Rattus norvegicus: one gene and its partner. Each later gene encodes a partner of the first gene's protein in a complex. Links are inferred from orthologs where the notes say so. Each region holds a gene or a part of one and is shown on either strand. Other genes may lie near its edges. The genes, in order: Sympk and Ssu72.

Evidence for each region.
Region 2: the proteins of Sympk (region 1) and Ssu72 are in contact, whole or in part, in a crystal structure (PDB 4H3K), measured with the Homo sapiens proteins. The link is inferred for Rattus norvegicus from reciprocal best matches to the Homo sapiens genes SYMPK and SSU72. Residues at the interface, in NP_004810.2 of Homo sapiens: Val123, Lys127, Leu131, Gln135, Asp175, Asn176, Asp177, Gly178, Thr181, His182, Lys185, Glu188, Pro204, Arg205, Arg206, Gln207, Ser250, Ile251, Thr254, Thr255, Asn262, Ala290, Ser292, Gln293, Ser295, Ser296, Lys299, Asn300, Leu303, His304; in NP_054907.1 of Homo sapiens: Glu113, Tyr116, Asp117, Val120, Asn124, Glu127, Gln128, Glu129, Thr130, Cys131, Gln132, Pro133, His135, Asp167, Glu169, Asn170, Asp173, Gln177, Glu180, Thr186, Phe187, Leu188, His189, Thr190, Val191, Phe193.

The regions. Positions count from the first base shown.
Region 1 is NC_086019.1:87,813,892-87,817,704, forward strand, and holds part of Sympk (symplekin), read left to right. Parts: intron 1-821; coding exon 822-976; intron 977-1,314; coding exon 1,315-1,465; intron 1,466-3,241; coding exon 3,242-3,446; intron 3,447-3,813. UniProt on the Homo sapiens protein: Scaffold protein that functions as a component of a multimolecular complex involved in histone mRNA 3'-end processing. Specific component of the tight junction (TJ) plaque, but might not be an exclusively junctional component. May have a house-keeping rule.
Region 2 is NC_086023.1:171,623,011-171,626,452, reverse strand, and holds the end of Ssu72 (RNA polymerase II subunit A C-terminal domain phosphatase SSU72), read right to left. Parts: intron 3,055-3,442; exon of another isoform or gene 3,000-3,054; intron 1,939-2,999; exon of another isoform or gene 1,918-1,938; coding exon 1,778-1,917; intron 1,346-1,777; coding exon 1,227-1,345; intron 1,071-1,226; coding exon 969-1,070; 3' UTR 778-968; downstream 1-777. UniProt on the Homo sapiens protein: Protein phosphatase that catalyzes the dephosphorylation of the C-terminal domain of RNA polymerase II. Plays a role in RNA processing and termination. Plays a role in pre-mRNA polyadenylation via its interaction with SYMPK.

The DNA of each region.
Region 1 (3,813 bases):
GAAGCATTAACGTTCCTTTCGTGAAGAGTTTGTCGCTGCTGTAGGACTGTCCTGCACATCTAACCACAGAACACTCTAAAGGAAGGGACACCTCCGTAACGGGTTTCTGTTTGTTATTTGTCTAAAATCAATTTTCTCCTTTTTTTAAAAAAAATTATATTTATATGAGTACACTGCATCTGGTGTGTCTGACACAGCAGAAGGGGGCATTGGATCCCTTTACAGATGGCTGTGAGCCACCATGTGGTTTCTGGGAATTGAACTCAGGACCTCTGGAAGAGCAGTCAGTGCTCTTAACCGCTGAGCCATCTCTCCAGCCCCAATTTTCTCTTTTTAAAAAAGATTTTATTTATTTGGTTTTTCTTAAAGACTTTTTTTTAAGATTGTGTGTAGCCCTGGCTGTCCTATAACTCACTCTATAGACCAGGCTGGCCTCAAACTCATAGAGATCTGCCTGCCTCTGCCTCTTGAAGCAATAGCAGAACTGTCTCCCACCGGGGGCACCTGCCTGGTTCCTGCAGGCTCCTGCATTCCATCTTCAATATAGAATATATTATCCATATGTCACCATCTTGGAGCTTACTGAAGTCAACTAGAGGTTTTTGGCTTTTTGCCATGTCCCTGGTGAGAACTGAGACCCGGAAGAGCTTTTGCTGACTGGGGACCTGTGCACTTTTATGGCCATAGTACACTACAGCCTAGGTCCTTGCCTGCTGTATGGCTGCTCCTTGCAGTGGTTTGCTAAAGGAAGGCCATGTGGCTCCCTGAACACAGGCCTGCTGCAGTCTGGGAACCTGCTTCTTATTCCCTTCCCTTCTCAGAGCCCAACCTGGGAGAAGATGATGAGGACAAAGACTTGGAGCCTGGCCCATCGGGGACATCAAAGGCCTCAGCCCAGATCTCAGGCCAGTCAGACACAGACATCACTGCTGAGTTCTTGCAGCCTCTGCTGACACCTGACAATGTGGCCAATCTGGTGAGGAGGGTGATGTCCAGGGACGGGCCTGATCCCAGTCCTTTCCCTGCCTGCCCTACACTATGGCTGTCTTGGTAGCATCAGCCAGGGCTTCCCTCCCTCCCTTAGAACTGTCCTTCTAGTGGCTATTTATTCTCAGTACCCCACTCCCCATCTGCTCACTCTGTTCTTGGGGTTGGGGCCTCTGTCACCCAGGTGACAGTCTGGCAGCCATTGGCTCCCCAGAAGCTAGGGTGAAAAGAGCAGCCCCAGCCCCAGCCCTGACCTCAGTTCCTGCTGCGGCTCCAATGCTGTCCTAGGATGGGCTGGCTAAGTTCCCCTCCCTTGGCCTCGCACAGGTCCTCATCAGCATGGTGTACCTGCCCGAGACCATGCCTGCCTCCTTCCAAGCCATTTACACCCCCGTGGAGTCAGCAGGCACAGAAGCCCAGATCAAGCACCTGGCACGGCTCATGGCCACACAGATGACAGCTGCGGGACTGGGTCCTGGTGAGTTCCTGCTGAACCAGGCAGCACAGTGGTGCTGGACTCTGCTTACTGAGAGAGCCATGGAAAGGAAGGTCACATGTCATCTAATATGTCACCTGTCCTGGGTCCATCATTATGCAGAGTACTCAGTGACTTCAGGTCCTGAGCTTTGAAATCCAACTGATGACGCCACCAGAATCCAGGGTGACTTGTGTCAGGTTTCCCAGCCTCTGAGCCTTGGAGTCTGTCCCTCTTTGATTGGATTGTTTTGCTTTATGTGTGTGTCAGAGGCCAGAAGAGGGTGTCAGATTCCTGGGAGAGTTAGGAGAGGTTGTGGGTGCTGGGAATGGAGCTTAGGTCCTCTGCATGAGCATCATGTGCCCTTCATGACTGAGCCATCTCTCTAGCCCAGGCTTTTGCCTTCCGTAAGACAGGGTCTTGCTGTACAGCCGTGCTGGCTTCTAACTTGCACCCGTTTTCTGGAGTAGCTTCCTGAGTGCTGAGATTGCGGGTGTGAGCTGCTCTCAGCACCAGCATGGTCTTGAAGTATAACTTATGAACAGGAACACATCACGTGCACAACTACAGTGTCAACGTGGCTGTGAGCTTCACAAGACATGCTCCACTTTTGTGTGGGTTCCAAAGCTTGAACTCGGGTGCCCTTTATCCCCTGAGCCATCTTGCCATCCCTTGGTTCAGACATGGTTGCTGTGAACAGTGGCTGTGTATGACTCTGGTGCCTCAGGTTTTCAACTGAGTGTGTTGTCAAGTCACCATGCCCTCTGCTGCTAAAGTCAGTATAGTGAGCACACTCTAGTGGACATACCTGTCATCCCAGGAGGCAGAGGTAGGAGAGTCAGAGGTTCAGGGTCATCCTTGGATGGATAGTGAGTTTAAGGACAGCCTGGGGTACATGAGAGACCCTGACCCACAAACTTCAGAAGGGCTGGTGAGACAGCTCGGGGCGAACATGTTTGCTGTCCAACCCAAAGTGAGTCCTGGAACCACGTGGTGGAAGGAGAAAACTGCACACATGCACCCTAGCATCTGTATGTAAATCCCCATACAGATAAATAAGACATAATCGTTCTGATCCCTAACGTCCACAGAGAAGCCAAGGTGGTGTGCACCTGTAACCCCAGCACTGGGTGGGACAGGCACAGGTGATCTGAGGATATTCCTGGTCAACTAGTCTGGCTGAAACAGGGTTCCGTGGGTGAACTCTTTTAGACAGTAATGTGGGTCTGGTTAAATGGCTCTCAGCTGGCAAAGGTGCCTGCTGCCCCACCCAAAGACCCGAGTTTAGTCCCAGCTCCACAAGTGTCCTCTGACCTCCGTATGTGTACACATGCACAACACATAAGTAAAATGTAAGAAGCGGGCAGGACGGCAGTGTGGGCTTTGAGCCTCGGCACTCAGGCGGATGCCTGTGTTTGACGTTTGTTCTACGTAGCAAGTCCAGGCTAATCGGCTGCACAGTGATATTCTTGTCTCAATAAGAAGTAAAGTGGAGATAAATGAAGATGCAAGCCTGCCTCTCCCGCGTGTGTATGCAGTCTAGCACACCAGCACACACACTTACAAGCATACTCATGCATGCCACACGGACATAAATCTGAGGGACCTGCTTGTGGTAATCATCTTGAGCTGGGCACTGGCTGTGCTCCAGGATGGACTTGTCTGGCTCCGTCCGCGGATCATTTGTTAGTTGGGCTACACAGTGCTGTGGGCCCTGTGCGTCATGGCAGAGCCTGGAGTGCAGGTGACATGCTGGGTCCTGTGGCTGCATCCGTTCAGGTGTGGAACAGACGAAACAGTGCAAGGAGGAGCCCAAGGAGGAGAAGGTGGTAAAGCCGGAGAGCGTCCTGATCAAACGGCGCCTGTCAGTGCAGGGCCAGGCCATCTCTGTGGTGGGCTCTCAGAGCACCATGTCCCCCTTGGAGGAGGAAGTACCCCAGGCCAAGAGGAGGCCAGAACCCATCATTCCTGTCACACAGCCACGGTGAGTCCTCGTCTCGTTGGCATGTGGGCCCTGCAAATATAAGGTAGGCTGAGTGCTGGACCAGGTTCTCCCTCTGCCTCAGAGTCAGTGCTAGAGCCACCAAGCGTTTGTGGGGTTCTGCAGCCACACCTCTTTTGTCCTAACTTGGGAGAATGGTCATGGTTCCCCTCCCTAGTGGACACTAAGTTAGAGACACAGCCATGCTGACAGTCAGGCAGTTTGCTTCCTGACGTGCAACAGAGGCTCCGGTCAGCATCACTGTCTTCATTTTTCCCTTGTATCATAGAATCAGACCTAACCCCGCCCGAGCACCCCTGAGTGCACCTGCTTTCCTTCTGTCTCTTGCTCTGCTCCTGTCCCATCTGCA
Region 2 (3,442 bases), on another chromosome or scaffold:
CTCCTTGCCCAGTGCCGTGCTAGACTGGGCCTTGGCCTGGACCGGGTGGTCGTTTCGGCTCTACTTCTCCAAGGCAGGCCCCTCCTCTTGGGTCTCCTGGTTCCAAAGAGGGACAGGAAGTGTCAGCACCCAGCCGCTTCCAGCAAGAAAGTGCCATCAGAGGAGGGGCCTGAAAAGTCAGACCAGGGACTATGACTACATGACCAGAGGTAGGAGGGCAAGAGGGTAGGCAATACGGAATGGGCCAAATATGCCATAGAGATCGTGGCAGTTGTGGGAAAGACTAGCCGACTTCTGGGAAGGAAGAGGAGCTGGAACAGTTGCCTGAAGCCAGCAGCTCAGTGTCTATGATCCTCTTGTGGCTGCCGGTCATACCTGGAGCCAAATTGAGTCCCAAGCCCTTGTGTTGGCCACAGAGCTGATAACATAAGAACCAACCCTGCCCTGTGTGACAAAAGCAGGAAGAGAACAGCTGACTTCCAGCCCCCCAAGTCGTCCCAACTGGAGTTGTTGTATCCAGGGTACTGGCCCTACCTCTCAGAAGGGTGATCTCAGGTATGTCACAGGGCTGGGCTCAAAGGCCCAGGGTAGCCTCTTCCTCTGCAGGGGGTCAGGCCAGAAATTCAGGACAAATCAAAGACTTTTATAAGCACCTATTTTGTTGCAATTCCAAGGTTTTCCCCCCTCAATAAGACAGCCTGTTGCTTTACTTAGGTTTCTGTACAGTCCAGCAGTGGAGAGAAAACGGGTAGGTGGGCCAACAACAGACACTTGCTGTAGGGTGTAGAGTAAACCATCTTTATTTCTTTTGGTTAAAAACAATGGTTTTGAATCTGGCATTTCTGTGTATGTCTCACTCTATATGTACAGTACATTGGTGATGTACACGTAGCAGGGAAAACACATGGAAAAAGTGACTTCAGCAAAGGTGGCTTGGTGGTGCCAGGCCATGCACCAAGCGGGATGGCTCAGTAGAAGCAGACAGTATGCAGAAAGGCCCGGCCACTCTTCTCCTCAAACTCCTGCAGCAGCTCATCGATTTCATTCTCCATATCCTCGGTGTGCTGGATCTGGGAAAAGCACAGCCTTAAGTGAACCCCAGGCACTGTGACATGCCTTCCCTGCCCCTGTCCTCCACCGCACTGTCTCCTCTGCAGCCCCAACAGGACTGGGTTGCAGCTACTTCCTCTGGTAGGCACTGCCTAGACCTGGGTGCTGAGACTCACACACTGGCAGAGCTCGCAGATAAGGAATGCTCCCAGGGTGGCCTCTTCATGGTTGTCCTGGATGTCCACATTGACCACATGCACTGGCTGGCAGGTCTCCTGTTCCCTGGAGTTCAGATCTGATTGGTAAAAAGAGACACCGAGTGCAGATGTATCCAAGTCCAGTTCTTACCATGCCTGCCCCTGAACTCTGAGGAATTTAACTGAAGATTGAGCCCCCAAACCCAATGAACTAACATGAGGGACAGCCCCCAACATGGGCTAAGAGACCAAGGTAAACAGTGTACTCAATCCAGGCCATCCTATGCCAGGCAACCCTGGACCAACAGCATGTTCCACAAAATGCCAGGCCTAACATAGGAAAAGCAAACACTGAAGGCCACAGGGCGTAAGCTTTGTTGGACATCAGTCTTGTGCTTACTCCTCACAGGCTATCCTCCAGATGTCCGTACAGGTCAGAGGATGTGAGGGTGCCCTCTGTCTCAACACCACTGTTGCCCAGGGCAACCATATGTCTATTAGCCTAGTGTTGGTGTTGTATGTGCACTCACCTTCTACAACCTGGTCATAGACTCTCTCTTCACAAGTGAGGATCAGGTCAAACAGGTCTTTGCAGTTCTGGAATCTTTCTGGACGGGGCTTGATCCTTTTATTTCTGTCCAACATATGTAGAATTCCATTTTGTGTATAGCTGAACACCAGAGTCAAGGAGCTTTGGATAAAAGATAGTCCACTAATGTAGACCTGCCTGTCAACGGCCCCTGCTTCTCAGGGCTCCAAGTTGGCCTTTGTCAACATGATCACCCATAGCTCTAGGCCTGAACACAAGCAGGGTGGCCCCTGCCCTACAACAGGAAGTACAGGAAAGTGCTGACCTCTTAGATCATAACCCTCATGACAACCCAAACCCACAGAGTGGCTCCAGATAGCCCTGTCATTCTGACTGGACAAAGTAAAGGCATGGTACCGGCCCCTCCTCTCAGCCTGGAACAGGAAGTTAAACAGATCCTTGTTCCTAAGTGTCCAGAGCAGCACAGCGTAGACCTCAGACTATGAGTGGTCCAGGGACTATTTGAGGATGGAAAGCCCCAGAGGCAGTGGCTCTCCTGGCTTTTGCCAGGGCTGATGGGCCTAAGCATACAGGTGCCATCTGGAATATCCTTTTGATCTCATCAGGCAGTCTCCCTGCTTTCAGATGAAAAAGAACTTGTCCTTTCTGGATCATCAGTGGGAGTTTTCCAGACCCTTTTTGTTGCTGGGGTTTAAGAAATATAGTGGAAGTCTGGTAGTACATGCCCTTATACCAGCACTCAGGAGGGAGATACAGGCAGATCTCAAGTTCAAGGCCAGTCTGGTCTACAGAGTGAGTTCCAGGACAACTGGGACTACACAGAGAAACTCTGTCTCCAGAAACTAAATAATAAATAAAAAATAAATAAAAACTAAACTAAATAAAATAAAAAATTCAATGGATTTTTTTTTTCAGATTTTCTTCTCACCATAGCTTAGCTGGATTGGGGCTTTGTCTCTGCTATAGAACTCCAGTTTGCAAGTAAAACAAACAGGCACAGATAAGAGGTAACTTTAGCTAGTGCTAAAAGCAAAATCAGAGCTGTGGTCAGTATGACCGAGGAGGCTATTCAGTCTCATATGGGGTTTAGGACTTATATGTCCTTTCCCACTGAGCCATTTCATAGTGCCTTAAAAAACAGTTCCTACATTATTTTAGAACACATTTAAGTGGCCAATCTAAACACTTTAACTGGAAGATACCTGATCAAGAGCTGCTAGGTAGTTCCATCCCCTGCATCATAGGCTCTTCTGGGGCTAGGCCCTGGAGCATCCTCTAATGTCTCCTTGCTGCCTACAAGAGCTGCACCCAAGTTTATAGAGTCCTTCAAACGTACTGGAGGAGAGAATGAGTTCAAGACCAAACCCTGTGGCTCGTATAACTTATGGGAAAGAGGACAGGGAAATAGGCCTTTCCTGGGGCAGGGATCCAATCAAGTTCCTGGTAACTCAGAATTAGTACTGACTCCAAGGAAAAGCTGGAGATAGTGAGGAGAAAGTCACATGGACAGAGCTAGGGACAGTGGGAAAAGCCACTTTGCATTCCCCACTACCCAGAGTCAGACCAAGAACTGTGGTCACAGGATGGCCCTGCCTGGGAAGACTGCCGTTGGTTCCACCACATACGCACACTTCTTGCCTGGATA